Danio rerio: one gene and its partners. The protein of the gene in region 3 binds, or shares a complex with, the protein of the main gene of each other region. Links are inferred from orthologs where the notes say so. Each region holds a gene or a part of one and is shown on either strand. Other genes may lie near its edges. The genes, in order: rela, ikbkg and chuk.

The links.
Region 1: chuk (region 3) and rela share a complex: the UniProt entries of both Homo sapiens proteins name them as parts of the 70-90 kDa complex. The link is inferred for Danio rerio from reciprocal best matches to the Homo sapiens genes CHUK and RELA.
Region 2: chuk (region 3) and ikbkg share a complex: the UniProt entries of both Homo sapiens proteins name them as parts of the I-kappa-B-kinase (IKK) core complex. The link is inferred for Danio rerio from reciprocal best matches to the Homo sapiens genes CHUK and IKBKG.

What each region holds. Positions count from the first base shown.
Region 1 is NC_133182.1:1,090,320-1,101,686, reverse strand, and holds the start of rela (transcription factor p65), read left to right. Parts: upstream 1-4,146; 5' UTR 4,147-4,198; coding exon 4,199-4,205; exon of another isoform or gene 4,206-4,427; intron 4,428-11,367. UniProt on the Homo sapiens protein: NF-kappa-B is a pleiotropic transcription factor present in almost all cell types and is the endpoint of a series of signal transduction events that are initiated by a vast array of stimuli related to many biological processes such as inflammation, immunity, differentiation, cell growth, tumorigenesis and apoptosis.
Region 2 is NC_133198.1:21,479,248-21,490,167, forward strand, and holds part of ikbkg (NF-kappa-B essential modulator), read right to left. Parts: intron 9,575-10,920; coding exon 9,513-9,574; intron 9,325-9,512; coding exon 9,277-9,324; intron 7,109-9,276; coding exon 6,890-7,108; exon of another isoform or gene 6,767-6,889; intron 6,432-6,766; exon of another isoform or gene 5,317-6,431; intron 4,724-5,316; coding exon 4,571-4,723; intron 4,477-4,570; coding exon 4,386-4,476; intron 3,821-4,385; coding exon 3,677-3,820; intron 3,554-3,676; coding exon 3,417-3,553; intron 1,182-3,416; coding exon 1,108-1,181; intron 1-1,107. UniProt on the Homo sapiens protein: Regulatory subunit of the IKK core complex which phosphorylates inhibitors of NF-kappa-B thus leading to the dissociation of the inhibitor/NF-kappa-B complex and ultimately the degradation of the inhibitor.
Region 3 is NC_133188.1:28,581,034-28,591,953, reverse strand, and holds part of chuk (inhibitor of nuclear factor kappa-B kinase subunit alpha), read right to left. Parts: intron 9,067-10,920; exon of another isoform or gene 8,945-9,066; intron 8,697-8,944; coding exon 8,592-8,696; intron 8,462-8,591; coding exon 8,367-8,461; intron 7,774-8,366; coding exon 7,656-7,773; intron 7,554-7,655; coding exon 7,484-7,553; intron 7,391-7,483; coding exon 7,302-7,390; intron 7,223-7,301; coding exon 7,133-7,222; intron 5,226-7,132; coding exon 5,101-5,225; intron 4,989-5,100; coding exon 4,881-4,988; intron 4,799-4,880; coding exon 4,663-4,798; intron 2,762-4,662; coding exon 2,567-2,761; intron 2,467-2,566; coding exon 2,364-2,466; intron 2,246-2,363; coding exon 2,122-2,245; intron 2,036-2,121; coding exon 1,884-2,035; intron 1,798-1,883; coding exon 1,736-1,797; intron 1,552-1,735; coding exon 1,442-1,551; intron 1,363-1,441; coding exon 1,313-1,362; intron 1,150-1,312; coding exon 1,041-1,149; intron 957-1,040; coding exon 809-956; intron 1-808.

The DNA of each region.
Region 1 (11,367 bases), on a different chromosome or scaffold from region 3:
GGAACAGATGAGTGGTGTCTGTGCAGTTATTAGTCAAGGCAAGTTTATTTCTATAGCACATTTCATACACAATGGCAATTCAACGTGCTTTACATAAACAGGAATAAAAGAGACAAGCATAAGAAAATAAAAACATTAATATTAAAGGGATAGTTCACACAAAAAAAAGGACAATTCGGTGTTTTTTTTTCAGAACAACCCCTTCCCCAACAAATGAACTCCTTACACACGAGGATATACATAAGATAATAATAAAAAATAATAATGAAAATATAATAAATAAATAAATAAATAATTTAATTAATTAATTAAATAATAATAATAATATAAATAAAAAAATAAAAGGTATTTGTAACGACGGGGAGTGACACAAACAACTGGGGTATGATCCACAGTGCAGGTTCATTCATTGTCAGGCAAGCAATGGTCAAAACAGGTACAAACGAGTATATGGAGACAGTCCAGAATCATAATCAGTATACAGGCGAGAGGTCAAAAGGCAAGCGGCAGGCAGGGAGAACGAGAATACAGGTAACACACGGGGAAACAAGACAAGAAATAACGCATAATAATGTCATCTACTGATAAACAAGACTCAGCCAACTGAATAGGTGAGTGTGTGGCTTTAGTAGTGTGTGCAATCAGTCTCTGACAATCCTCAGGTGGTGCGAGTAATCAGTCTAGATGAGGAAGCATGTGTGAGTGTGACCGGAGTGCATTCATGAATATGTAGTCCAACAATGGCGGAATTGTAGTCCAAGGCTATGTTGAGTGAGAACCAGCGATCTTATGGAATCCGATCGCTGGTAATCATGACAGTATCGCCATCGTAATTATTTCACAGGGGATACATTTGTACATCAAGTTACACTGTGTTGCATTGTACATCAAATTCAAGTGATGATAGGTCAAGCAACCTCTAAATATACATATCTAAATGTGTCACAATACTTTTCCACCTCTTCAGAAAAATATCAGTCTTCGTTTGTAGACATGCAGTCATTATTTCCATTATATAGACCTGTTTAATTCTCTGAATCCACTGAGCAGTGCAGCTTTGGAGAACTTTCTTCCATCCAATGTACTGTAATCTTTTTTTTTTTTTGCAACCAGTAATAATATCCTCTGGACAAATGTTGTTTCCTTATTAAACATTTCTTTGGGCAGTGCTTCTGTAGCAGAGGTCAGCTAGTGTGTGCTGTGCAGGTAAACCTCACTCCTCTGACCTCTAAAGGTGCTCTAGTGACAGACACTAGAGGTCATGGCCTTTAGCCTCCTTGGTAGAGCAGCCGACTCCCATGCGGAAGGTCGCCAGTTAGTTACCAGTTCAGAGCGGGTTGAGTGGTGTAGGACTGGCAGGGCTACACTCCCAATAAGCATATAACTGGATGGATGGGGTATTTCTGTCTAATATCTTATCTATTTCTTTATTAACATTTTTCCATGGACAGTACCAAAAATGTGAGTATGATCACCGATTTTACCGCATTTTCTCCAGCACAAAGCTACAGATGGTCTTCTTACACATCTAGATATTACAGAAGGAGTATTAAAGTATCTCACTTTTACTTTGCTATCAAATTCTTTCCACAATTGACTGTTCATTCCTTCATGGCATCCTTCACATAACTCAGTCCATAACTCAGTCATTATTCCAAACCTGTTTGAGTTTCTTCACTCTGTTGAACACTACATAAGATATGAAGAAAGCCAGAACTGTGTAACTATTAACTCACTATTTGTTTTCCTACTGGAAGTCGATGGTTGCAGGTTTTAGGCTTTCTTATCTTTTTTTGTGTGTTCAACAATAAAAAACTCAGAGAGGCTGGAAAACACTTGACAGAGAATCAATAGTGAGTACATTTTTTTTAGTGCGTGTGTGTGTGTGTGTGTGTGTGTGTGTGTGTGTGTGTGTGTGTGTGTGTTTGCGAACACATAAAGAAGACAGAATATGAACAAAGAGGGTTACATAACTTAAATAAATCCCAGGAAATTATACAAGTGTAAGAGATTTGCATTAAGACGAGTTTTACACGCAGTGTAATCACTATAGCCTTTTAAATAGTTCACAAATAAATCAGAATATTCTCAGAAAATTACATTTAGGAGCATTTTTTTTTCAAATGTACATTTATGAAAGTAAAGTTTAGCAAGAAAAAGCAAATAATAATAAATTTACAATGAGAGTGGTCTGTGTTTAAATAATACAATGTTGGGCAAATACAGAAATAATATGATATGTTTATAAAAGTGGAAAAGTCGACCTAAAACAATTGAAGTTCATTCATTAAATTTCCTTTAGCTTAGTCCCTTTATTCATCAAGGGTCGCCACAGCGGAATGAACCGCCAACTATTCCAGCATGTGTTTTACACAGCGGATGCCTAGCCAGCTGCAACCCAGTACTGGGAAACACCCATACACACTCATTCACACACACACACACACACACACACACTCATACACTATGGACAGTTTAGTTGATCAATATAGCGCATGTGTTTGGACTGTGGGGGAAACCGGAGCACTCGGAGGAGAACATGCAAACTCCACACAGAAACGCCAACTGACCCAGCCGGGACTCGAACCAGCGACCCTCTTGCTGTGAGGCCACAGTGCGAACCACCGAGCCACCGTGTCTCCACAACTAAAGTCCACTCTCTAAATAAGTGATGTAACCAGACAGTCCAGAATGAGCGTTTGTGGGAATACTGTTATTAGAGTTACCGATATGAGGCTGGTAGTCAGCTTGGTAAGAGGTGATTCTTTTTGGACCTTTTTGCAGTTATTCGTCTCGTTTTCTATTTAATTATGAGATTTAAATACTGTATTTAGCTGTCATTTAAACTACTATGTTTAGCTGGATTAGCTTGTTGGGTGGTCATTATAACCACACTTTTTGATGTACCAAAAATATTTATTTTAGGGCTGTCTCTCATCCCTGTATGAACAGAGTAGGAGTCTGATTCGCATTGCCAGCAATACAGTTGAAGTCAAAATTATAAGCACCCTCCCTGCTGACAAATCCAGCCTAAACCAGTCTAGGCTGGTCGACCAGGCTGGTTTAAGAGGGGTTTTGGCCACTTCCAGGCTGGTTTCCACCCATTTCCAGCCAGGTCTTAGCTGCTCAGGCTGGGAGATGACCAGCTAAAACCAGCTTGACCAGCCTAGCCAAGCTGGGAGTCCAGCCAAAACCAGCTATATCCAGCTTAAACCAGGCTGGTCAAGCTGGTTTTTGCTGGATTTGGCTGGTCATTTTCCAGCCTGACCAGCTAAGATCAGGCTGGAAATGGCTGGAAACCAGCCTGGAAGTGGCCAAAACCCCTCTAAAACAACCTGGTAGACCAGCTAAAACCAGCCAACCAGCCTAGGCTGGTTTAAGCTGGATTTTTTAGCAGGGCTTTGCATCTGTTTTCTTTTTTAAATATTTCCCAGATGATGTTGAACAGATTCAGGAAATGTTCACAGTATGTCTGATAATATTTTATTCTTCTGGAGAAAGTCTGATTTGTTTACATGTCACATTAAGCTGTATAGAAGTGTCTTGAAGAATATCTAGTCAAATTCACTGTCATTATGATAAAGAGAAAACAAATCAGTTATTAGAGATGAGTTATTAAAGCTATATGATTAGAGATATGTTGGAGAAATCTGCTCTCTGTTACACAGAAATTGGGGGGAAAAAATAAATAGGGGGCGAATAATTCTGACTTCAACTGTATTTGACAAATTCTGGACCCTAGTCATTTAGGGCTGGGTCTTCTGAACCGCCCTGGCTACAGGCCTGGATAGTTTACTAGATAGTTGAATATAAGTTAGATGATTATGTCAGACTTTTCTTAGTGAAGAAGCCAAAAGTATTCTCATTATTTGTCACCAAATACAGTATATTATTCCAAAAACAGTGAATATGTAACAAGACATCTGAGTCCATATCTTCATTTGACATTGATTTTGGTCGACAAATAAGTTTGTATTGCTAAATACTGCCCATAAGCTAATCTACAGTGCGCGTGTGTTCTCAGCAGTCGTGTTGGTGATGATGAATCGCGTCATCCGGGTATTTCCGCCCACGGGAGCGCGCCTGCTGTAGTCCCGCGGAGGCGCGCGGAAGGAAAGTGTTGTCGCGGTGTGTCGTTTATTTTTCACCGTCGCCCGGAAACGTTAAAAAGTGACCGAGAGCTGTGGAGACCCGCGACATGGACGGTAAGTCGAGCTTTAATGCCGGGTTTCTGCATGTGAACGGCGCCAACGGGGGGTTTGCGGTGTCGCGCGGAAGGGAAAGTCCCGCCGCTAAACTTTTACTCTCGGTTTCGGCTGAGAATCGATCGGTCCCCTGTCTCCGGGGCTCAGGTCGGTAAACGGGTCACGAGAATCAAACACGACAACCATTACAAGGCTGCAGAGCTGACGTATCGCGGCCTACAGGTGTGTGTGTGTGTGTGTGTGTGTGTGTGTGTGTGTGTGTGTGTGTGTACACAAACAAACAAAAACACTTTCAAATACTTGTCAAAAAGTCCTCAGAGATCACGCGATACGCGGAAAGTGGCTTGTTGACAAGGTTACGTTAACTTATGTTACTTTTCCTGGTAACGTTAACTGCTAAGTTCTGTGTGGGTTGGTTAATGCTAGTTAGTAGCTAGTAAACTTCATCGCCTGTGTGAGCTAACGTTAACTGACGTAGCGAAAGTAAAGATGCACTAACGTGATATTTGTATTATGTGGCTGCTTGTTCATTGTGGACATCTGACGATAAACCTGTTTAGGGGTGTGTTGGCTAGTTCTGGTTATAAACTCATCTCCTTCATGGACTCACTGATTTAGCACAGGTAAAGCTACTCAAAGTATATCTATACTCTTTATTTGGTCACTTGTTCATTGTGAATGTCTGATGATAATACTCATGTTTAGAGTGGGTTGGTTAGTGCTAGATAACTAGTAGTCAATGAACGCCATTATTAACTCTTTGATTTAGCAAAAGTAAAGGTACTTTGTCACAATATTTATGTTGTTTGCCCACTGGTTTATTGTGAATGTCTGATAAGGAACATATTTTGGGGTGGGTTAGTGCTAGTTATGGCTAGTAGTCATAATCACCTTTGTGAACGCACTGATTTAGCGTGAGTAATGCTGCTTGTTTATTTGGCCACTTGTTCATTGTGAATGTCTGATGATAATACTCATGTTTAGAGTGGGTTGGTTAGTGCTAGATAACTAGTAGTCAATGAACTCTATTACGAACTCACTGATTTAGCAAAAGTAAAGATACTTTGTCACAATATTTATGTTGTTTGTTTGCCCTCTGGTTTATTGTGAATGTCTGATAATGAACATATTTAGGGGTGGGTTAGAGCTAGTTATGGCTAGTAGTCATAATTACCTTTGTGAACTCACTGATTTAGCGTGAGTAATGCTGCTTGTTTATTTAGCCACTTGTTCATTGTGTATATATGATAATAAACATGTATTAGTGTTGGGTTGTTTAATGCTAGCTAACTAGTAACCAAAGCCACCTTTTTGAACTGGTTTAGAGAAAGTAAAGCTACTCTATTACAATTTTTGTGCTGTTGCCACTGATTCATTGTGAATATCTGATGATAAACCTGTTTAGGGGTGGGTTGGTTAGTGCTAAAAAACTAGTAGCCACCTTAATCAACTCACTAATTTGGCAAATGTAAAGCTACTCTATCACAATAATGACCACAGGTTCATTGTGAATATTTGATAATAAACATGTATTAGTGTTGGGTTGGTTAGTGCTAGCTAACTAGTAACCAAAGGTACTTTTGTAAAGCTACTCTATTACAATATTTGTGTTGTTTATTTGGCCACTGATTCATTGTGAATATCTGATGATAAACATGTTTAGTTGTAGGTTAGTTGGTTTGTGGTAGCTAACTAGTAACCAAAGCCATGTTAGTGAACTGATTTAGAGAAAGTAAAGCTACTCCATTACAATATTTGTGTTTCATTGTGAATGTTTTATAATAATAATAATAATCATAATAATATTAATAATAAGCATGTTTGGTAATAGGTGGGTTGGTTCGTTCTAGTTAACCTGTTAAAGTCTCCTTATATAGAGTAAGTAATACTGCTCAAAATGTTGTTTGTTTGGCTGCTTGTTGATTGTGAATATCTGATAATAAACCTGTTTAGGGGTGGGTTGGTTAGTGCTAGAAAACTAGTAGTCAGTGTCGCCTTAATGATCTCATTGATTTAGCAAATGTATCACAATAATGGCCACAGGTTCATTGTGAATATCTGATAATAAACATGGGTTAGTTAGTACTAGTTATGGCTAGTAGTCAAAGTGTCCTTTGTGAACTCACTGATTTAGAGGATGTAATGCAGCTTGTTTATTTGGCCACTTGTTCATTGTGAATATCTGATAATAAACATGTATTAGTGTTGGGTTGGTTAGTCATAGCTAACTAGTAACCAAAGTTACATTTGTGAACTGATTGAGAGAAAGTAAAGCTGCTCTATTACAATATTTGTGTTGTTGTTAGTGGTAGGTTAGTTGATTAGTTCTAGTTAACTATAGGCATTGGTCGGTATAAGATTCTGGCGGTATAATAACCTTGGATAAAGATACCACAGTTTCATGGGATAGTGATTACTGCTCTAAAATATATTCTTTTTAAATGTCTGAGTAAAAAACTAAAAGTTTCCCTTTGAATACAATATATCTTAATTTGAGAAGTATTTAATATATTTTGGAGCAGTAAACATGTCAGGTTGAATAATTCAATGAGTCACTGACCTCTGCTGTCTTCATTCATTTATTCATTTTCTTGTCGGTTTAGTCCCTTTATTAATCCAGGGTCGCCACAGCGGAATGAACCGCCAACTTATCCAGCAAGTTTTTACGCAGCGGCCTCAACCCATCTCTGGGAAACATCCACACACATTCGCACACACACTCATACACTATGGGCAATTTAGCCTACCCAATTCACCTGTACCACATGTCTTTGGACTGTGGGGGAAACCTGAGCACCCGGAAGAAACCCAAGCGAAGGCAGGGAGAACATGCAAACTCCACACAGAAACGCCAACTGAGCCGAGGTTCGACCCAGCGACGTTCTTGCAGTGAGGTGACAGCACTACCTACTGCGCCACTGCCTCGCCTTTGCTGTCTTCATTTGTTTCAAAAACACAGATTTCTTTATGATCTAAAATGGCATTTTTGGAAATCTTTTCTCCTGGAGATACTGTTTTCCTAAAAAAAAGAGAAAAATATTTAAATTAAAAAGTCTTCCACAAGTCTTCCACATACCTCAGGAACGGTATAGCAGAACATCTGGGTTTAGTCACAACCTGGACTTTTCCATATCACGGTATACCTTGAAAACGGTTATCGTCCCATGCCTAGTTAACTAGTAGTCAAAGTCGCCTTTGTGAAATAACTGATTTAGGTTAAGTAATGCTGCTCAAAATGTTTACTTGGCCACTTGTTGATTGTAAATATCTGCTAATTAACATGTTTAGGGGAATGAGGTAAAGTTGATTTTATATTTGGACATTCAGTCATTTTAATGATCCCTATATTGTTCGCCATGCTACTTTGATTATTGTGTCTTTACACAGTAACATTCCACAGCGGAATGAACCTCCAACTATTTCAGCATGTGTTTTACACAGCGGATGCCATTTCAGCTGCAACCCAGTACTGGAAAACACCCATACACTCTCACCTCAATTAATCAATAACATTTAAAAAATAATTAAAATATTTTGCCGAAAAAAGCTCATCTTTTTAACCTCTCATGCTTTATTCTGCAATAACACAACCAACTGGATGTACATGGTCCTTTACTTAAAAATCATTTAGTTCTGAGGAACAGAGATAGCAAAGGTTCTGGAAATACTGTAGACCTTCCTCAAACGAATAATCAGATTTAAGGCTCTAAGTCAGGAGTGCCCAAATACTGTCCTGGAGAGCTGGTGTCCTGCATAGTTTAGCTCCAATTTTCTTCAACACACCTAGCTGGAAGTCTCTAGTATACCCAGAAAGAGCTTAATTAAATAGTTCAGGTGTGTTTAAATGACGTTGAAACTAAAATATGCAGGAAACTGGCCCTCCAGGACCGAGTTTGAGCACCCCTGCTCTAAGTGTTTATCTTAAAAAATATGACAAATTTCTACCATATTCTCATGTTGACTTTGTAAAAGTAGAGATTTGACAGCAAAAGACGCCCGAAGCACAGACTGACGTTGGGCCTTTGTGTAGTTATGTTAAATAGTGTGTAAACATTCAGAGATTGTGGTTTCTGTGCGACACCTGTAGCAGCATTGTGTTTATACTCGTCAGTCAAGAAAGGAGTAATTGACAATGGACTGTTTTACAGTGTTAGAAAGTAAAGCAAACCTGAGGTGGTGATGCGGTGAAGCAGAGATGTCCAATATTCTCTAAGGCCCAATCCCAATTCTATTGTTGTACCCCTTCCCCTTGGCCCTTGAAACAGAGTGTGAAGGGGAAGGGCTTTAAAATTCACCCCTAAGAATTGGGCCAGCACTACAGCATCTGCACACGTCATCATGTGTCATCGCCATCTCCTGCTTCATATGAGATCAGACGATGGAGACTGCTGGAGTTACTCCAGTTGTGTTGTTTGGTGTTTATCTTCAGGACATCACTGAAGGCAGATATCATGTTATCATGACATATAATGTGGCAATAAGATCATAACTGTACTGTGTGTTCACACCGTGGCCATATTCATCATGTAAACACACCAGAACAGCATGAACACTACAGCAGACACTGTGAACAGCTCATCACACACACTAGACTCTTCTGACAGGGGATTGGAGTGCTCTTCTCATCTGGTCTCCAGCACCGCTGCTGAATCCACTGCTGAGATGTTCTATGTTTGAGACTGTGTTAATCAGGTGTGTGTCCTCCTCAGGCGTCTCCTGTGTGTCCTCCACATCTCCTCCTCCTCCTTCTGTTGTGTTCTGATGTAATTTCTGACTGCTGTAGTTAAAATAACACTAATCATTCAGTGTAGTGATTTGGAGCCACTGTAAACCTGCCGGAACTTCTTTAGCTGTGCCTATATCTGACAATAACCAAGCACCCTAATGCACATCAGCATCAGACAGATTTAGGACTCATTTTTTTCTTAGTCTGATTTTACTTTGCTTCAGGGTTTTCTTTTATGCTCATTTCATCACAGACTGATGGTAAATGTGCTGTGATTGCATCATGATGATGACAGACTGTTTACATCCAGAGATCTCGACTAGCAGACGGGTTAGTCATAAAACTCCTCCAGGTTTAACTGGGTCAATATGTGCTCGCCGTCTTCCGGCCTTTCTGGATTTTCTTCTTTTTTCCTTTCTTTTTCTTTTATCAGTCTCCTGAGTGTAATGAAAACACAGCGTACGGAAGAAAACACAACAGCAGAGAGGGCTGGAGATTTGAAGACGCTCGCTTTTTATCAAACATGTCAATAAAAACACAGAGGATCTATTATTAATTACATTACATTTATTTATTTTGTTATTAATCACTTTTATACTTCGTTAGAGCACATAAATAAGCACACTACTGCATTAGTGATTGAGAAGCAACAAGTCTGTGTTATTATCATCAGATTTTCCTTTGAATATATATACATTTTATTATTATTATAGTTGTCTAATGCCATGCTCTCATAATATGTTTAAGTCCTTATTAATGTTACCTACTTTTTAAAGTGTTTTTGCACTTTCAATTTATTCACGATTCATTTTTGCCCAGCACTATTATTCATTCATTTTCTTGTGGGCTTAGTCCCTTTATTAATCCGCCACAGCGGAATGAACCGCCAACTTATCCAGCACGTTTTTATGCAGCGGATGCCCTTCCAGCCACAACCCATCTCTGGGAAACAATCACACACACACACACACACTCATCCACTACGGACAATTTAGCCTTCCCAATTCACCAGTACCACATGTCTTTGGAAACCGGAGCACCCGGAGGAAACCCACGTGAAGGCAGGGAGAACATGCAAATTCCACACAGAAACGCAAACTGAGCCGAGGTTTGAACCAGCGACCTTCTTGCTGTGAGGCGACAGCACTACCTACTGCACCACTGCCTCGCCCCAGCACTATTATATTCATTTAATTTCCATTGGCTTAAACCCTTTATTCATTAGGGGTTACCACAGCGGAATGAACCGCCAACTATTCCAGCATATGCAGCCTAAAATCAACGTAATATTTTTGTGTTTAGAGTTATTCAATAGGAGTGTTGATTATTGATCAATGTATTGTAATTGATGAATGTATTGTGTGTGTGTGTGTGTGTGTGTGTGTGTGTGTGTGTGTGTGTGTGTGTGTGTGTGTGTGTGTGTGTGTGTGTGTGTGTGTGTGTGTGTGTGTGTGTGGTCTGGCAGATTCAGCTCAGTTTGTTGTTGAAATGTGAGTTATTTTCAGATTCGTTTCAGAGTGTCAGACTTGTGAGTGACTAATCCTGTTCTGCAGCTTTAAGGTTGTTTATTTAGTTGTTGTTGTTTTAATCTCTGAAGTTTCTGAAGATCTCCAACATTACCAGCAATTGGACTGATGTGGATAAAATCCTCACTTTTTACAATAATTGATGTTTCAAAGCAGCTTTATAGAAGGTGCACATTAATGTATTGCAATCAGATTAGGGTAATGTTACAATCACAGAAGTTAATATATACATAGTTACCCTGCAATAATATTGCATATAGATGTTGTCTAGGTGTATAGAGTTGCCACGACACTGGATTTCAGTACCAATCAGTACTTTAAAAATGTCCCTTTGTCCTGTTGAGCGCGTTCTTAAACAGTGCTGATTTGTGTTCACGTGCTCAGCAGAAATGACTGTGATTGGCCGTGAAGCTCATCGGTTTACTGAACTCATTACTGTTTACGTAGTGTAGCCACAGATACAGGGACACTGGAGCATTTTAAAGTGACGATGATCAGCTGGTTTGTCGATAAGCAGACATACAAGCGATCCGCTGATGAATCACAACGTTAATATGCTCCAGTGTCCCTGAGATCAGCTGTGTTGTACTCAAGAGCGGTGTTGTCTCGCGCCTATTGAAGAGCGGGTCCGAGGGTGTGCCACGTCGCGGGGGCACTTTTGATCATTTTGGAAGGGCACTTTCTATCCAAGACTAAAAAAGGCATGTGCACTGCACAGGTTGAGCCCTATGTGTGCACTTGCCTGCCTGGAGTATGCCATCATTTTTTTTGGTGTGGTTTCCAAACCCAGTTTTCCCCACCAGAGTGAGCTGAGGCCGGCTCTGTCACAACCTTGCATGCAGTAGGCATGGGATGATAATCAGTTTTAAAACATACCGCGGTTCTAAAAAGTTAAGGTTTTAAAACCAAT
Region 2 (10,920 bases), on a different chromosome or scaffold from region 3:
TTGTCGTTGTAAAGTGTAATTACATTTTTTTGAGAGGTGCGCATCGGTGTCGGCCATGGCAAGGGCTATGCGACCATGCGCAGGCTGTGGCAGAGCATACACGTGTGCTTGACATAAAAGTACAAATCAGACTTAAATGCACGGCAACTTGCAAGGTATGCGCCATGGGTCATATTTATTGTATAAACCAGCCTTTAGAAGCACACTCATGAAGTTTACACTGACATTCCCTCGATCCCTTGGTTTTAGCCGATGGAGTGATTTGGTATCATACATACACTTCAGAACCTATATATACCTAGAATTTAATGTGATTGTGATATCACAACAGTGTATGTCCCAGGTGTTTAAGGGGTTAGGGCATTCCATTAAAACCCATTCAGATTGTCCACCAGCAGTGTATAGTTGTGTAACGTAATCAATGACATACATCCGAGGGAATGAGACAAAGGAAAGTAAAGTGGCAAGTGAAGGGCTTAAAAATTAGACCAGAACGCAGCTAAAGTCTTGTCCTCATCAAAAATGCCTTTCAAACGAGATTCATCTTCTGGGATAAGCCCAATTTATACTTCTGCAATGTATACTTCTGTAGCCCACGGCACACCTCTCGCACGTAGCTGACTCTGTTGTGAGCATTTATACTTCTGCATTCTCTCTGTGTTGCTTTTCCGAAAGTAGGGTTTCTCTGCTCTACTGTGTCAAGTTTCTTTGTTGTTGTTTTTACCATTGTAACAATATATTCAGAGAATATATAAGTATGTGTATATATATATATATATATATATATATATATATATATATATATATATATATATATATATATATATATATATATATATAGTTAGCTATGTGAACACAAAGCATAAAAATTATGTTTTAAAACAAATTTCAGTGAATTTGTGTGGTGCCCAAGTCTCACCACTTCCCCTACACTCAGTAGCTTTACCACACACACACACCTCACCTTTGTGGCCTGTGGTGAGAGAACAGTGGCTTAATGACTCTTTAAAGAGATGCATTTTGTCATGTAGCCTGTAAATCTAATTAACTAACTTAAAGGAAATAAAGCACCTGTGTATTAATTAATGAAGAAAACAGGTGTTTTACCAGCTGGAGGTGGCGGGTGAGGTCGAGGCCTGTAGTCCTCCAAGTGTCTCTGCTGCATCTCTTCAATGCGAGCTCTGTGAGGAAACAACATTCACATCAAACGCTTGGACAACAGGAGGGAGAGGACATTAGTTCATGCAATTCATTTGAATTTATTTAGATTTTAATTTAAAGGTGCAGTAGGTGATTGTCTTCAGGAGCAATTTTTGTTGTACTGGTTGAAAGTCTCTTCACAGTCTAATAGTAATGATTACAGTAAATGATCTAAATTTATTTTAATGTATTTTTATATTTTGGGTAAGGCATAAAACAAAAAAATGTTCATCCAATTAAATAGAGTCGGACGGACATCTCTCATAATTCCGATAAGTAGCTCAATCTGTCTGTCAGCAAATGCAGATTTGAACAACTGCGCAGCCGTTTGTACGCAGTTCTGCCGAACCGCCGCACGTTCACGAGAGAGAGAGAATGCGTGCACGCGCGCGCGGTTGGTAAAAACATGCTGAATCAAAACTTTTTAAAAACCTGAATCAATATTGGAGTTACCTTTGCACGCTGGAGAAAGGATGACACCATGTCTGAAGGCCTTCTCTTAGACAGGTAATGTTTTGTTTTAAAATTATTTTAGCTTCACGCTAAGCTGATGTAACGTTAGATGTTGGGTTATATCTTCACAGAAGTGTTGTTCAGCTCCTAAAATCTTCCGATGAAAGATTGATAAGACTATTTTCAGTTTCATAAGGGTCCTTTTACAGCATCAATGATGGAGATTTTAATTAGTTTAACAACAAAACACAAGTAAACGCCACTATTCCGCCTAGTCTCTCCCTATATTGTTAACCATGCAACTCTAAATATTCACTCTGAAATAGCATGTCAGTTTGGCTTGCATGCCGCCGGACATGCACTAGTCGCTTTTAACACATGAGAGGGTTCTTTTGCTGTGCTTGTGTTTCAGGAGGCGTGGCTCTAGACGGCAGGGGAGGGACTGTGATTCAGAGATTTATGCTAAGCTGTTAGCATTGTGGAAGATCTCCTACTGCACCTTTAAATGAAATGCAGAGATTGATAACATAAATCAATGCTACTGTTTTTAATTTAAATGTATATTAAAAACTTAAAGTTGAAGCCAAAGAAAATTCTCTTAAACCGAGTTTTTGCTTATTGTTCACTACAGAGGCTCGCTGTTATCATCAAATATTGAAAAGCAGTTCGCTTCTATCGATCAATCAATGACTCAAAGAGGGATTAACGGTGTGGGATAATGGCCTATACATTACATTAGAAATTTAGTTCAGACATGCTCTGAATTCAAAGTGTAGCCAAATAACAGAGACATGCACCATGGTAAAACAAGGATAAAAACTGCTGGTGTTTTATAGGTTGATGGATGGACTGATTTGAAATGGACATTTTTTCCAATTGAGATGCTGAACTTGAAGATTTCTTCCTGAATAGATGGGCTTTTGCCACACATCGATTCTTTATCCCCAAAACTCATATAAAATAGTTAAGTATTATAATTCTAAAAATAATGATATTAAAACGGGGCAGGATGACAGTAATGGGAAATGCAAATCTTACATAAAAACTATTTTCATGTTAGTTAATTCATAAACTAGAAACTACATTCTGTTATTTACTAGTGATTTTAGGCATTAAAAAGCACAATGACAATCATGCATATACATACTGGGATCTGCTGAATTAAGTAGAAAATAATGACAAAGCTAAACTAAATGCAAAAACTGAGGAAATAACCATCAAATATCAGGGTTTCTGTCCAATTTAAGACTTTTTAAGACCATCAAGAATTAAATTTACACTTTATTAGGACTTAACGCGAAGGATTTTAAAAAAATACTTTCCCAATCAAAAAACTAATTCTAATGAGTTATTTCTTAGCCACATATTTAAAATAACTAATTTAAATATTTAAAATATCAAAACAAGCAGACCCTATTTGTATAAATACTAACTAAAAACTTTAAAAATAAAAATTTTAACTAAATGTATGCACAACAAACTGTTATAGTATTATTTATAAAAAGAGTTTTGCTAACAGTTTTTTTTTTAGATGTATTGTTGGTGATTGGATATAGGTTGAATTAATTGAGTAGCTTTACATAAAAAAAGGAAAACTAAGACCTGTTTAAAATGATTTAGGACCTACAACACAATATTTCTGTGAATTTAAGACTTTAAAGCCTAAAATAGTTTTTGCTATTTAACACATTTTAAGACTTTTTAAGACTCAGCGGATACCCTGAGACATTCAATTTAACCAATACATAAAATAACTTTGATACCGTGAGGTTCTTTCTTGCTTGAATCTTTCAATCTCGACCAATGCCTTATTCAGATCCTCCTGCAACTCTTCCTTCTTTTGATTGAGTTTCTCTCTGGCTTCCCTCTCAGCCAAGAAGTCCATCTTATAGATCTCTGCCTGTAAAAATAAAACATGTCGCCATTGTGTTTGTGTTACTATATGCAAGATCTAAATCGTATACACATTTATAGCAGAGCCTAAAAAATGAGTGTTTAATTTTAATGCAAAGTATATTTTCACCTGATGGTTCAGCACCGGTATGGTCTCTAATTTAGCTCTCAGCTGCTCCATTTCCTCCTTGAGTTTATCAATGTGCTCCTGTTTGAGGGCCAGTGCTTTCTCAGCCTCCCCTAACCTGTTAGCAAGGGTATCCGTCTCTCCACCCTTAAAAGGTAAATACCACACATAGTTTCCATGAACAACTATAGAGCACAAACCATGCACTGACCTATTATTTTAAGTGTCTACCACAAAAATGAAGTCACAGATTTGTAGCGTTTCAATTTAAGAGAAGTTCAATGACTAGTGTCTACTATTGAGAAAACTTTCTAAAACATTTACATATTTAAATTTGTAACCATAAAATATTTATTACAAATATGATGAATAATAATAAATGTAATTTTATTGGGTTTATTGACTTTCTCACACACACACACACACACACACACACACACCGTAAAAAGCAATCAAAAATTTAAATTAAAACAAGCTAATGTTAAATTAAATAAATAAATGAATAAATAAATAAATAATTTAATTAAATAAATAAAATAACATACAGCAATATAAAGCCATCTCTAAAAATATAACGTATGAATAAATACAAAAATAAAACATTTCATTTATTTTTTACATTTTTTCTTCATTACTGGTCAAAGACGAACAGAAATGTTAAAGGAAAATGGTACCATAACCAATAAACAGTTTAAAAACAGCAGATACCTACCCTGTGATTGGCTTGTTTTTCGCTTTTAAGTTTGTTGTCATAATCCTGAAACAGACACGTGTATGCATGCTGGAGCTGGGCCAGCTTCCTCCTAGACAAAAAGAAGAGCAACAGGATTTGTGGCTTGCCATCACAACTCTAACAATCACAGCAAGAAGCTGCTTTCTACATCCCGCTGAACTCACCTCTCCTCCACTATGACGAGCCTCTCGTTCTTCAGTGCGGCTTCCAGATTCTGTGTCTTCAGTAAAAGATTGTCTACCGTCACGCTGTGCTGCTTCTTCTGCTGCTCCATCTCTCTCTCTACAGTCTGCAGACGCTCACTCTTCGTGACCAGCCTGGAGATTAAACCGATAATATATACAAAGATGCTCTGATAAAAAAAAAGAGCAGACCTTTCAGGATTTGCTATTCTGTTATCACTTAATTTTTTTTTTTAACGCCTCATCTGCAGCATTGGCTATTTTTATGGCAACACTTGTGCTAATTATTATTTAATGTAAAATTTACATTTATAAATTACATATCTGTTTATTAATAATCATGATTCGCACAAAAAAATACACTACTGCAACCTAAATTATTTTAGTTAAATCAAATTATATTTTCTAGTCATTAATTTACTTTAACTGATGACAAAAGACATTCAATTAAACCTAGTTAACTTATTAAAATGAGTTAAAATACCATTATAAAACAATTATTTATATTTATATATATATATATATATATATATATATATATATATATATATATATATACACACACACACACACACACACACACACACACACACACACACACACACACACAAATATATATATATATATATATATATATATATATATATATATATACATAAACACACAAACACATATATATATATATATTTTATACACGTATATACACTTTTTTTTTCTTTTTTTTTTTTACAGTGTACAAATAAAAAACAAGGCATAGACAAGGATTTTCCAACTGTATGACCTTATGAAAAATCCAGCGAATGTCACAAAATATTTATTTATTTGTATGGACCTAATTCACATTTCCAAGTTTCTCAGCAGTGGAAGTCATCATAGTTGGGTAAATATGAAGGTTTATCAGAAGCAAACCTTGAGAGCTTGCAAATCTAAATGCGAGAACTTGGGACAATAATATTTGTACACACACACAAACACAGACACACCGACACACGACTTAGCATTTATGTCGCGAACAATTGGTTTCATTTTCAAATATGACACAAACTTTTTTTAAAGGAGTGGTCCAGAGTGTATTTTTACAGTTTGGTTGTTTATAAGTTGCAAAGCAATGTGTGCTCATTTGTAAAAAAAAAAATAAAAAAATAAATCACTTTATTTTCTTACATATCTTACTTTAATTATATACATCTACTCAGCTAACATGAAAATGACTGTCATATTTCCTAGTTCCTCCTCAAGTGGCACTGATTGGTCAGCTTACATAATAATTGGCCCCAAGTCACCAGGAAAAGTGTCATGCCCCTACAAGCACACACTTTTGCGCTGTGTAAATACTGTCGGTCAGAGTAGCTGTTAGCCATATCAGTTTGAGCCTGAATCAGACAGAAAATGACACAGAGGACACAGCTGAACTTCACGCCTGCTGACAAATCTGACAAGTGTCTTTCACATATAATTAGATTAAGCTTGGGTAAGTAATATGAAATGTTAACATATCTTTTGTGAGTTCGTTATTTGAGATGTAGAACGCAGGGAAAGCGTCCGCAGACCCTGCAGCTCTGCTGAAGATTTTGGGTGTTTTCTGTGATTTGACTGTGATGTTTACATCCTTGCTACAACATACCATTAACGATAGAAACTGTGCTTGTAATAGATCAATTTAATAAATAAAAACATTTATGGATTGTTGCTCACAGTCCTATTATGGTTGGAGCTGCTCCTCCTTTGAGGAGTTTGACCTGAACTGGGAGAGATTCTGGAAGTTGTCCTTTGTCAAATGCTAGCTATATCTTTTTTATAATTATCTGGAACACAATTAAAATTAAACTGTAAGCACTTCTGTCTTTGTGTCATGTCCTTTGGTAGCCCAAATACACAAGCAGAAGGAAGCCTGTGGAAATAGCAGCGTTTGGATGGCATTTTAGCTTTCTCTGCTTTAACATTATAGCGCCTCTGGCCATGCCCTTTGCTGCGTGAGGTGTATGGGTGTGGTAAATGCACGTAACCTGAAGCATTAGTAATCTCACTAACATGGATATATACTTTTGTAGTCCCCAAACTTTGTTCACTGTAGGCTTTGCTAAGCTAACTCTGTAAAAGCCAATGTCTCCCTTTGCATTGAACTTTGAGCGTATTACATTCAGAGATGTTGTTTATGTTCACACAGCTACATTACACATCAACTAAAGTTTAAATTATGATATCGTAGTGGATCATCCCTTTAATAAAAATTTATTTTAGTCACAAAATAAAATAAATTCTGAATTGTTTTTTGCAAAATCCTGAAAGAGATTCACTTACTTGTCTTCTAAGGTTCGTTTCTCTGCTTCGCTCTTCTCCAGCCAGTTTTGTCGTTCGTTCAGCTCTCCGAGAAGCGACGTTACTTGCGATCTCAGCGCTTCACTGTCCTTTTGTACCTGAACAAACTCTTTCTCCTTCTGTTTAAGGAGAGCCTCAGTTCTGTCTCTCTGAAAAGAATTCTTCTGAAGACAATCCAGCTTCTCCTGCAGCTCCCTGTACCTGCATCACAGCACAGACATTTGTTTTAGACCCGCTTTATACCTGGTGTTAAGTTTTCTGGCGCATCTGATCACAAGCGAATGACATCAAATACAGCTGTAAAATGGGGACTGAAATGTGTTGAGTTTGTTCATGATCATTTGTTTTGACCAGACTGCTTTTGTACCAAATGCAGTAAAAAACAGTAAAGAACAAATAATTAAAATTGTAATGCAAACAACAAAAAGCAGGAACTTCCAATAATAGTTCTAGGAACTATAAAAAGGTTCCACTGGTGCAAAAGCCCCTAATGAGAGCTCAAGCTATTTGAGTATTTAGGCTACTTTTACAAACGTCACTATTCAGGCCTAGTGTAATAAAAATAAACAAAATCTCTACATAATAAATAACATACAGACACTTTAACCAATGTTTGTGCAATGTTAATTCTTTACCCTCTCTTCACTTGTTCCAAACCTCATTGAGTTTCTTTCTTCCGTTCAACACAAAAGAAGATATTATGAAGAATGTTGAAAACCTCTAACCATTGACTTCCTTAGTATTTGTCCTCCCTACTTTGTTCAATAAATTAGGTTAATTTTAACATGTAACATGTAAAGTTTAATCACATACTACAATGAGCAGAATATGAAACAATAAGTTATTTTTAATATTTAAGATGGAGAGATTCAAATAAAAACATCCGCTAATAACATAATCATCATACAAATAATTTTACACGATCATCTATGCTTTTTTAAAAGTGAAATGCTAAAAACTCCCTTAAAGGATGGCCAGTCTATCACTAGCTACGTTTCCATCCACCTATTTTTATGCACATTTTGGATATGCGAATAGAAAAAAAAAAGATTAATGAAAACGGCAAGTGCAGAAATTTTGAAAATAAGTTAAAAAAAAAACGCATAACTGAGTAGGATAAACTTTGTATTCGATAAAAAAGATAAACAATGATCGAAACACTTTTACTGCACAAATTCCAGCATGTGCATTAAAAAAAGGTGTTGTGGTTTTTTAATGAGAGATCATGTGACAAACCAGGAGGCTGAACACATTGTAAAACATCTGAAATGTTGTTTTGGTCTTTCTAAAATGCCGTAACCATTTCAGTAATCCTGTATTATATTACTAATGACCTCCAGAATCAAGAGCATCTGTGATTCGCGTCTCACGCCTTCAACGCCTCCGCGAGTTCACTGCGTGTTAGGACTGCCTTCTGAGGCGCAAGTCATTTATTAAAAGAAGAAAAGATTCACTTAGCTTCTCTTATCGCAGCAAATTATGTTTTTACTGTTGATATGTGGTGCCAGATAATCAGGAAGTGATCATTTTGTTTGCTTTGACTTGTTGGATGGAAACGCTGCTTTATTCGCACGTCTTTTATGCGATAACCCAGTTTTGCGCACGAAGTTAATTAGCATTTTTGGATGGAAACATAGCTACTGACTGTCATATGCAAGTGTACAAATCATTGAAAAAATGTTAACAGTCATGTTGACTCAAATAATGTCCATTTGTCCTATGTAAATGTATACATTGTGCCATTTCAGAAAGTTTCTCTTAAATACCAGTGCTGACTGTCCTTGTTAATAAAATGCCATATTAATAAAGTTTTGAGTTTTCTTCAAAGTATCTTCTTTTAAGTTCAACAGAAGAAAGGAATTAATAAAAGTTTCGAACAACTTGATAGTGAGTAAATTTACGTTTTTCTGTGTACTATACCTTTAACCAGGCGGCATTTATTGATCAAAAGTGAAAACATTATCTTTGGTAAATATTACCATGAAAAGTAAAATATTTCTATTAAAATATATATTCTATAAAAGAACATTTAGATCAGATTTTTTTGCAGCCATTACCTTTCAGTCCTCATTGTTAAATGATCATTAAAATTAATCTAACATGCTGAATGTCATTCATAGAAAATGATTTAAAATCTTTTATGAACACTATAAATTGAATATAAAAGGTGAATATAAAGTGAATATAATTAGTTAATAAAATGACAAATTTATTTCTTACAATTAAAAAATAATAATCTTCCTGACTTCAAGCATGTGAACATCTGTCTATATGAGAATCATAAAACAGTTGAACATCAGCTGTCAGGATTTACTGAATGAGGGGATGGACACTCATGCACACGTCGAGTGAGACACGGTTGTCCTCACCTGCCTTGTGTGGCCTGAAGCTGCTCAGTTATGTTAGCCAAGTGAGAGCTAAGCAGACACACGGGTTCAAAGAGAAGACAGAAAAAAGAAATTCCAAACCATTTACATTAGAAGAAAAGGAAGAAAAGCACTTTGAGACTTATTACAATCCAATCAAACCATGCAAAGATGACAGAGCTTCATGGTCAGCTGTAGAGAGAGAGAAAAAGCAGACGAAATTGAAGATCTGATTGTACCTTTCTGCAGGAACAGTGACAGCACACGTCGGCGGGACTGACTCTTCAGTAACCCCAACATTCTGATAAACACAGGAGGAATCAGTTAACACAAGTTACTAACATGCGAGAAAGACAGCATATGTAACCGTTTACAACACTGATGTATGCATGTATTTTTTATTTAATGCCATGCCAGCAAGCAAGGCTATTTTTTATGGCAAGAACATTTTAATAATAAATATACAATTAAAAATTAACAAACAAATGAATTCATTAATTAAATAAGATTTTAGCGCTAATACATGATAAAAAATAATTAAAAAATAATAATTTGCTTAAAATGTCCTTAAGAGAATTTATTTCATATTCTTCTGGAATCATTAAAAACAGGACAGTCCAGTAGAATGTGTTTTACTGTAAGAGGAATTGTGCAGTACAAACATTGAGTAGGGTCGTCACCTTTGAGCAAATAACCATGTGTTTTTCTTGTATGACATCTGGTAAAAATCACTTGATCAAATCTAGTCTTAAAATGTCTTCAAATTCAGTTTGAGATTTCACGTTGAATGTCATACAATGTATTGTTTTTCAATACATCCCACTCCTCTTGCCACTTGTTTAAAAACATAAACATTGATAAAACGTCTCATCTCTGAAGGAGGAATTTGCTATTTGTTCACCGCTTGTTTTAAAGCATCCTTAGCAGCTGCAAAGCCCAAAATGATCTGGAACTCAAACTAAAATTTGTTTTGTAAATGGTGAACTGTAATTAAAACATTATCAAATAATTTTTATAAAAGTAAAGCACGGGCTTCAGCTGTGAATATTGAATATTCTTTAGGCCAGGGCTGACCAAACTCGCTTTTGGAGGGCCGGTGTACTGGACAGTTTATCACCAACTTGCTTCAACACACCAGCCAGGATGCTTCTAGTATATCTAAAAAGAGCTTGATTAGTTGGTTCAGGTGTGTTTGATCCCAGGCAGACTGATTCCATAATGTTGTTGTTCTTTACAACACTGATAATAAGCATACATATTTCTTGAGATTATGTGAGACAGAACACTGGAGTAATGATGATAAAAAAATTAAATTTATCCCAAGAGAAAGTTCATATTAATTGTAAAAATGCGTAAGAGTATTGCCATTTTAAAGCAGCCTTAATGAATCATCTATCGCTACATTTAAATTATTTTAAAGACTGTCAATTTAAAGCAGTGCACGTTTTAACAATTGATTATGGTTTCTACTATTTTGTGTGTGTCTATATGTTGTGACAAGTATTATTTCATTTATTTTTTTATTTTTTGTTTGTTTGTTTGTAACTTTGTCCTATGCTGCCTGTCTTGATCTCAACGGATCAGGAGTTTTCTTTACAAAAACTTTAAATATCAGACATAAGTTTCTGATATCCCTAGAGTGTGTAT
Region 3 (10,920 bases):
AAATTCCCTTTAATGTGATATGACTAAAAAGTGATCATAAATGAATACTTTCTCAATTCAAATGAGTAGCAGAGTCGTCCACACAAATGTACCCATTTCATACTCTCCTTTCAGAAAATATTAAACATTTGCCCAGCCTTTCTGGGTACATGCTATCTGCACTGCAAGTCAATTACAAGCACATGTTGACAATTTTACAATCAAAGATGTCACTTCACTATGCCTGTTTAGTCTGGTTGTTCTGCTTGTCAAAGAAATTGGCGCGCTGTGACGAGGTGCAAAATTTTGGCATTATGATTGGCCAGATCACCTGTCAATCAAACTGCCTGCAAAGGGTCAATTGCATAACCGTTACAGACCAATGTTATCTAAAAAGTGTTAATATTAATATCTTTATCTTTCACCCTACTGTTCTTTATAGCTTGGTGCCATATTGCCGCTTACTAATAAGTAGGTTACTGTGGGCTATATTCAGCCGTTTTTATGTCAGCTGGGTCTACTTGTTTAGTTTTGAGGAAAGAAGCTGTGTAATGAACAGAATAATGTATATCTAGCCGGTTCATTTTGCAGAATATGCCTCAGGTTTTATTTAGTGAGAACAATGACCAAGACATACAATATTCCTTACTAAAAATCACACCTAACTTTTAAATGGTGTAGTTTTTTGTTTTACTCATTTTGTAATATAAGATTTCGGTCTGACCACTAATGTGCATATAACCCTACCCCTGGAAAGTCCGGGATCATGTGGCTCATGTGCAAATTAAAAGCATATCTGTCCTTCAGACATTAAAAGCATGTGACTCACACAGGCAATCTTCAGTAAGTGCCAGAACTCTCTCTGTCTCTTGATCTGCATCTGCATGACTGTGGTGTCTGCCTCCTTTATGCATTCCAGCGTTCTCTCGATTTTAGGGAAGAGGTCGATGATCTTCTGCTTACTCAGAAGGATTTTACTGCAAAGGCCAAATTTGAAAAGTAAAATACCTTAACTGTATAATCCATTTGAACATAAATGAGTGGCATTAAAAGTTTTTTACCTGAGGTGTGCATATAGATCTCTTAGCACCCGGTCTTGATTCTGGACAGTCTGTACTATGACCTTCACCATCTCAGAGCTGTCGCTGTAGCCATGCTGAGGGTCTGGCACTAGAGGAAATGAAGAACATACATTATACACTGACCCTCTTGACTTACTAATGCAACCAATGATGATGCATTACTTTCTTTCGAGTATTTGACTACTTGGAAAAGGACACAGAGGGATTGTCATTGACTTGAAAAGTAAATATGCAAACAGAATTGTACTCACTTTTGCATTTTGCCTTCAACTGTTTGTAGAGTTCAATGGCTTTCTCTTGCCTGTGATGAAAACAAGATTTTATGTCAAAATAAATGCTGATAAACTTCACAAAGCTTATTTCTGAACAAAGGTTCTCACAACTGCTCCATGACATCTCCTTGACGACGAGCATAAGGACTTCTCTGTAACTCAACGATTTCCGAATGCAACGCCATTATTTCCTCATCCAGATGACCAATCTCTGCCACCTTCAGAAGATAAAAAAGTTGTTTTAGTTGTAGTTAAAACAAATGTAAACCCACATACAAATACATTTGCACAACAGATATGCTGGTCAAAAAGATTTTTTTTTTTACAAAAATGTGAAATCCACTTAGATGACTATTTATTAAAGGTTTTAAAACTACTTTGTGTATCATTCATTCACAGCACCTGTGCAAAAGCAGCAGCCCTCTCTTCATTTTCGTGCCAAGCCTTCAGCATCTTTTCTGAAGCTACAAAAAAAATGGATTATTACTAATCAATAATGCAATAACACATTTTTAGCTTTATCAACAAAGCAGCATATTCAAAAACGTACATATGCCATACTGCATCTGATCACTGTATTTCTCCAAGTCGTACTGTATGCTGGTCTTAAAAAAGTCCAGCTTTGCTTTGAGCTGTTGTGAAAAGGAGAACATCATGTTCTTGTATCTTGTCAAATTTGTATTGAAGCGAAGAAGACTCAGCCTGCAAACAAACAAATGATTCAATTATGAACAGAACAAAACACAAGACAGAGACATTAACGAGCATAGTAAATGTAAGGTATGTACATGGCTGCACGCTGGCCCTGGAAGAGGCGGCTGTAGTCTTCTCTGAGGCCACAAATGTAGCTAACCGCCTCACCCCAAACCTTTTTTAGGGTACTTAGTGGGAGCTGAGTTTTGGTTTCCCGAACTGAAACACAAAACGAGTTAAGGAATTTTAATATTCTAATGAAAGTTTACAAATACTTCACATTTCACGCAATAACATCTAAACAAATGATCCAAAGAAAAGCCAAATCATATCTTACCAATAAAGTTGACACTTTCGGGAAGTGTTCTAGCAGTTAAAGGTCCCATGTACTTGGTCAAACTCTTGTCAAACAGATATACAATGTAGCTGTCCCATCCTCTCTGATTATTTAAAATGAACAAATGAAATACAACTATGTTGATTAACAAAATGGTTTCTTTGCAGATAAAAACACACTTAAGAAGCCAAAATAATACTTACTACTCCATCTAACACACACTGTGCAGCAGGTTTCCTGGGATCTAACATGACTCCTGTTTCTTGCAGAAGATCTTGATTCAAAAGTTCAATTTTGGTTTCGTTCTCAATCCTCTGTTGCAGAGAGTGAAGCCCTTCATCTGGGCTTAGCAAAAATGAGTGAACCTGGGTCGTAGTCATGTTCAAGATGTGCACAACCTACAAAACAAATCATGCGTCAACTCATTTTTGCTGGTTATCTTAGATGTGTTCTGTCCAACAAATCATATTAGCTATTTGAAATTGGTGCAGTGGTTATTTGTAATCAATTTGGATGAAAAGAGTATTTAGATTCATGGTGAATAAAATGTTCCTTCAAGCATTATTTTTCAAATAATTATTGTCAACTATGAGGATTAGGGCAAAGCAATAGTAAAAAAGACAAAACTTAATTAAATCTTGAGATTATAATGCAATATTAAACTCATATAATCATAATACAAGAACACATAAAATGTAAAAAAAAAAGAAACCTCTAACTAAAATTTTAAGAATAAAGTAATTGTGTTTTTTGGGGTGAAAAAAATTTACATTTAGAAAAAAAAAAAATGCTGCAAGGTGCTGTCCATGGCTATGGTGCTGAATTGAATGGGAAACTGTTTAATTAATCCTACTACTGTAATTTTAGTATCTACTCAAGCAAAAAAGCTAACTTTGTACATCATTTCCAGACATCAGAGAGCTCCTATCAATATGCAGGGTACTGATTTTGCATTTAAATGCGCAGAGGTGTTTCACTTTTACTTTCATTTTTGTCATAACAGGTTCTCTGTGTAAACTGAAAATGTTTTAGATTAGATAGTTTACAATGAGGTCATCATATGTTTAGCATGAAAGACTCAACCACAGTCTCTCTCTCTTTACTCTTGACCCTTGGGTGAGTTTGAAATTCTGGGAGTGGTGGGTTAAGAGTTTTATACATAGGCGGTGAGTGACCAGATAAAGAACTTGAAAGGGATTCACATGGCACAGGACATAATGCATATGCTCGCACAACACAAAAGTAATGTGCAAAGAATGTAAAATACAGGGTGCACAGACAGAGCTGCAGCTGCACCCGTAAAACCTGAAAGCCTTAAAGGACTTCTATCCAGTTCACTTTAGACATGAACAGTCGCACCAAAATCACGGATGTAAGCTACTATTAATTACAAATGAGTTTGTCAAACAGTGTATCTATGCATTTATTCACTTGCTTTTGACACGCAAAGTTAAACATCAAATGTTCTTCACAACTTCATTAGAGTGACTCTCTTTTCGTTCACTTTTATATTACACTAGTGATAAATAAACACATTTGACGCTTTTACCATGCTGAAAACTTATCTACATTGTCCACAAAGTCCAAAGATCAAACTTGATGGTCAATTAAAATAGGGTGCAAGCCAGGTAATCAAGCCAAACATGGAAGGACCAGATCATGCGATCTATATAAATCTGAGTTCACTTTAAATATCTGTGGCAAATACTGATCCTGAACCAACAGTTATAAGCAGCTTTTCTCTCGATAAGCAACTAGAGGAAGCAGCAAGCAGTGGTTTGAGTGAGAAGGTACCACGGCGAATGTTATCTTTCCTACTCTCAAGCCAGTGCTCTGCTAAAAATATGCATAACATCGAAATATGCATAATAATGACTTTTTTCTTGAACTTTTATGACTGTATTAACATCTAATTTTAACATTCAGACATTAAGAGTTTTTTTGTGATACACAATGACTTCACATGTAACGACTTTAATTTTAAGATTCCATTCTATTCTATTATTTTTCTTGAAATTTTTCTCCACGTCTGTTATTAAATGGTTGGGTAAATAAGTGAAGGTTATGAATAACGTATTCAACTACATGCAGAAAAATGTGTAACTCTTGGCAACCAGAATAAGACATCTCTTAAATAGCTGATGACATTTTTAAAACCACTGTTAAAAAAACAAACACACATTCATGACAACAAAAAGAAGGCACCACTAAACAAACCAGACAAACTGTATAAAATAAAGCATAGATATAAATCTTAAAGACATCATAAAGAAATGATGTAATAATGTCAATGCCAAACCTTCATGCTCAGTATTTGATCTAGAAGAACAAAGCACTGGGGCTGTTTTGAATCTGTGTTCAGTCCTAATCCTCTCTGTACAGGGTCCCATTTGAGCATCAGCTGTAAAAGGCCTTCCAAGGGCTCCAGTAGTGTCCTGTGGAAACAAAAACAAATTGATAACTCAGAAATAACGGGTTAACACATGTTAATATATATTTTAATTGTATGAAGTGTACCTGCTAAGATTGTTTGGGTATGGAAGGTGGGTGGAAAAGCGGACCTCGCCATTCATATCTTCCACAGCCATTATATCCTTCGGACCTTTGTTTCGCACTTTGCTTGTCCTAAAAAAAAATATATATGCTTACTTATACGCAACTATATGGCTAGGTTCCTCTTGAAGAAAGGGTATATGAAAGATGGCATTATCAGCATGCAGGTTATGAGGACACATACCACTGCACAGGCTGAAGATTGTGAAGAAATGGACGAAATCCACAGCAGCATTCAAAGATCATGGTGCCAAAGCTCCAAAAGTCCACAGTGACTGTGTAGGACTTGCCTTCAAAAAGCTCTGGAGCCTGAAATAAATGGCATGGCCAATTTATTATAAGAATATTTAAAAATATAAGAATGTATAAAGATGAATAAATCTGAACATTGGATCCAATTCTTACTTCTTTTTTCACATTTTAAAGTAGATTTTTTTTGTGAACAGGATTTTAAAAATAAATCTATTTTTATCAATCGATAATTGTGAAATCAGGGCTCTAAATTAACCTTTTTTTCAAAAATGTAGGCGCATCAGCCATAATTTAGTCCCACACACCAATAATAAGCACCGTTACTACAAGTTTTATAGAAACAGATTTATTGCATTTGAAATCAACACTAATCAAGCTAACAAGCAAAAAAATATATATGCATACTGGAGGAAAATATGTCTCAACGAAACCCCGTTATCACAAGAAAATACATTTTTATAACATAACTGACTGACCAAAAGATACACGGACCGCTCACCGGCCCTGCACGCACTGCTTGACATGAATGAATCTGTTAATCATGTAACTGTGCTGTTCTCCTGGATGGTGTCTGATATTGCACTGATGCTTTTGACATATACTGTACCTTATTATATGCATACGTCATGTTTATAGCAATACCGGTCTTTTCACGAGTAGCGATATTTGTTTACTCAGTGCAAGCCCATTTGTGATGGTGTACGTTGTGTTAAATTTTAACGTTACATATAGCTGCCACTTGCATGGCGGACAACATTTAGTGATTAAATAAAGGATTAAACAGAACCTCTCGTGCTAGATGTGGCAAACAGTTACCTTAAAATTCCATCCCACAGACTTTTTCATAGTGGACTTGAAGCCAATGGAAGTCTTTTAATAGCAATGTTAATAGCAAAAAAACATCCAAACTTCGAAAAGTGTAGATGGTGGATTAACATTCAGCACATGATCACTACTAAGATGTGTCATTATCTCTAACTTTAGATGCCATGGTTTCTAAAACAAAATCTGTCAGTGTTATCTTCATTCCCATCTTCAGTGCTTTACATTTTTAAGGTAGTAGCTCTCCCTGTCATCCCAAGCCATAAAACACTGACTGAGTGATTGTGACTGACAGCTGATATTAACCAATCCACTTGCGATCAGTTCTAGAGCAGAGGGCCAATAAGAAAAGCGTGAAGGCGGGGCAAGCATTACAGACTTGGTTTTGTTTACTGACGCAAAGTTGACATGTTGACAACTGTTTAAAAACCTTCCTGCGCACTGCGTTTCAAGTGCAAAGATGCATTCTGTGTGAATGTCTACCCAATCCGTGCATGTGGTGAACATTTTGCAGTAAAAACTGGTTGCACACAACAATTTTATGCTCTTACACAAATGCTCCCAAATATATTTTGAGGTCGCATAGATAAAATTGTGGGCGCATATGCGACCAAAATGGTCACAATTTCAATCCCTGGAAATGCTATGGAAAAAAAGCTTTTTACTGTTTTTTTGGTTTTATTATTTTATATTATTGTTTTTATTTCTACATAACCAGACATATCTTATATAAATCTAAACCTAATGTAAAAACCATTAGAACACCTATAGGAATAAAACTTGGAATATTGGTGTAATTTGTACTGTAAGGAAATTTGGTGTAAGTGATACTGGAGTAAAAACAGGGATCACTACAAGTGAAAAACTCATTTTGAGGTAACAGCCTTAAAAAATATGTTATTAAAATAACAATGGTATTTTTTTCTATAATTATAAATTAGTATAAAATAAACACTTAAAATTGCATTGTGGATGTTTTTTTTCCCATGAGTACAAAGAACAATCTCCAAAATCTCAAAACTGACAGGTATTAGACACAAAAAATTCCCTGCATCTTAATAAAAAATCTCCAGCATATGAAAGTGTATGTGAGATTATTGCCATAACTGTCATATTTCTAAATAATGCAGGTTAAAACATACCAGATATTGTAAAGTCCCCACAAATGAAGTGCATAAGCTCCCCTGGTCCAGGTCTTTGGCATAACCAAGGTCGATTATCTTGTGAACAAGCTGCATAGACAACAAAACATAACCCATGTTTGAAAAGCATGTCTATAGAATAAAATTCTAACCACTAAAAAGTAAATACCTTTCCATTAATTTCTTGCAGCACAATATTCTCTGGCTTGAGATCCCTGTGTATGATCTTATTCTCATGAAGGTACTGGATTCCAGAACCTATTCAAAAGAAAACACTCAGTTTGACACACAACCCTCAGCTATTGATGGTAAAAATACTAAAAACAGAAGCAACAGGCTTTGACACATTACCAACATCATTGAGTAGAGACAACACCTCACTCTCTTTCAACCCACAGCAATTTTCAGGTTTGCTCAACAACTACAAAAAAAGAATTAAAAAACAGAAATGAGTCAGAATGAACTTAATATAAGAGCACATCTGACAGATACAAAAGAAAAGCCTATGGTCACACGCACACACCTTACGAAGATCTCCTTTGGAACAATACTCCATGGCTAAAAGTGGTAAATCATTCAAGGCAATGTGCATCATCTCCTCAGGCACATCCTTTGCTGTGACAACATTAAGGTGCTTTAGCCTTAGAAGTAGGATAAAAAAAGATTAGATTAAGTAATGTAACAATTAAAGGTGTACAAACACACAATATTAAGACACTTATGTACTGTAAATAAGGATCATGCTGCGGCCTCAAACCACTGATTGAATGTATTTTGATATGCTTAAACTTTGCTTTATCCTTCTATACTTACTATGTGTTTAATCAGGTAAAAATGTAGGGATGTAGTGCAATCACTTAAATTTTATAAATATTTAAATAAGCACAGGATAGAACAAATATATTCTTTAGTTAAATAAACATCTATTATGCTAAATAATTATTTCAATTCCTGAAAGTGTATGTATGTAAAAAATTGCCATTACAAAAACAAAAAATGTTCAACCAGGTTTCAGTACGAATTGTTAATATTTGTTTTTTCTTTTAAGGTCTGAAAGGATTTTTACCAAGATTTCAACAAAAAAGCAAGTTCTTTTCATTAAATAGCATTTGGTCAAGATTATTGTTAAGACAAAATTTTATATCTTGACCAAATATACATATATTTTACGTGTATATATACACGTAAAATTCTCAAAACAAATAAATCATTTGATTATAATAGATGTACACACTTTTTCATAATCTGGATCTCTCGACTCCATCTGTCTTTGTTTTTTGAATTAAGCTCAAGGCGACAGAGCTTCACAGCTATTTTTTCTGATGTTTCCTGCAAGCAAAAAAAAAAACTGTATTACCAAGAGTGAAAACTCCAACATTAGTCTTTACAAGTAAAATAAATAAGCAACAACAAAACATCTATAGTATAAATAGTAAAAATAAAAATAAAAACGTTGTACCTGATTCTGATACAAATAGACATGGCCAAATCCTCCTGTTCCAAGCCTCTCCTTCATAACCCATGAGCCACAGACCTGATTCTGTCTGAAAGGGGGTTTCTCCATCTGTACACATCAAACATTTCATCATAAGTTTATAATACAAAATCACTGGATTCCACTTTGTGAAAGCTGCTGCCGTTTGATCTATGTACATTGGGCCCTATTGAGGAAACTATTACGGGCTTCTTCGGTGTAAACAATACAAAAGAGGATTCATAAATACGAAATATTCATTTGCGTCATAATATTTACTTAGACATTAGGGCACTGCTAGCAAGCGAGCTAATCCAAAGTGTCAGCCGGTGACTTACCTTGCGTCCGTTTGTGTTTCTAACTTGCTTTAACCAGCCACATATAATGTGGAGAATTCAGTGAGCTGTAAAATGAGCGAATTAATCCATAGGAAACGGCAGAGCTGTCCATTTCATCCTTAAACGAGCTATCGGGTCGGATTTTAGATTTGCTAACTGGCTAACTAGCTACACGTAAACATCTCGACATGAGCAGTTAGCTTGCAGTCTCACATGCCCCCAAATGTCAGCTTTCCATAACACTGGGCACGAAAAAATACCAGATCGCAAGTGAATTTCTAAAAAACTAAATATTTCTGGCCTGAATTATGATTAAATACAGTATCACTGACTGGCTCACTTATATGTTAACTGTTGTTGACGGCGGCCACGCCAGTCAGCTGCTACTCCAGTCAAAAGCGAAACAATTTTCACGCACGCGCAGAGCGTGAAAAGACGCCCGAGTTTCTTGTGGCTGATCTAGGATCGGTCGGTCTTAACAGATGCTGTATGCATGGGCAAAGTAAAGTTCTTGGAGCTGAACTCAGGACGTAGGAACTTGTCACGAAAACAAGGTCGGTGACCTGAATTTCTTCAGATCTTCAAATGATAATTTCATGTGAACTGGAAAATTTGTTCCGCAATTATTCTCCTCACACCTGCTTAATTTGGAATAATGGAAATATACCTCTTCAAACACAAACACACACACACACACACACACACACACACACACACACACACACACACACACACACACACACACACACACACAATGGTAATGTTATGGTTGTTACATGACTGTATTTATTATTATGTATGTATGTTTAAAACCAGCAGAATATACTATATATTTGACATGTCATGAACTTACTGTTCTTCAAAAAAATGCTCAATAAAAATTTCCTTAAGACAAGAATGGGTATTGTTTTGGTCTTTTTTTTTTTGTCAAACTACTGTAGGTTTTAAGTTACTACAGCAGATATAGGCTACCTATATCATTATATTGGTAGTCAGAGTTATTTTAATGACCCAAATCGAGTAAAATGTCTCCTACTCAAGTACTTTTTGCATGCAAAAGTCAAATTTACAGTTTTCAACAACAAAATTTTGTCTCGTAAAAATGACCAGTGGGGTGTGAGAAAAAAGTTAATGTCGAGATATATATTCTATATAAAAGAAGTTGAACAAGTTGTCATAATATTTAGTCATAATGCATTTTTCTGTACATTTCCATTAGACGTTTTTTTTCTAAATCTATAATTGGTAAATTGCTCCCAGGTCAATCTAAAAATGAAATAAATTAGCCGTATAGCTTACATGAGGACGTCCATCCAGAGTACGCTGTTACATTGACAACATGAGTAAGTAATTTGACTGTCTTATCCGTACACAATGACACAAGGACTTGTCATTCTGACGGCACTGACATGTTCATTGAGAGATGAACCAAGCACTTTAAGCAAGAGACTGGCCTTTGCAGGTAATCCATGCTGTTTGGCTATTTGTATGTGCTGTTTTGAGAAATGCACTTACTGCTTAGCAAATTTCAAATCTGAGAAGTTTACCAAAGCGACTGAAAAAAAAACTGTAAAACAACACAAGTTAATGCAAAGATGAAAAGTCTGCAAAGACAAAAGTGTGTATTTTTTTATTTGCACATATCACTTTTTAAAGTAGTAGCGTATACATAATTCGGTTTTATATTTTTGGCTTAATATTTAATACTCGTTTTGATGTAACCATGTCTATAGTGGAATGGAACATCACAACCATGGTTTCTGCAGGTGTCAGTCACTATTTCAAATGTATGACTTTTTAAGTCTTTTCTTAAAACCATTGTGACCCCGACATTTCTAAGAGGTGGCTATAAATATACAAATGTTGCACACATAACAATAGGCCTATATAAACATGAGCATATTGCCAACACAAAAAGTGCAACAGTCTTAACAGTCATGGGCTATATAGTTTGTATAATCATTTATTCATTTCTT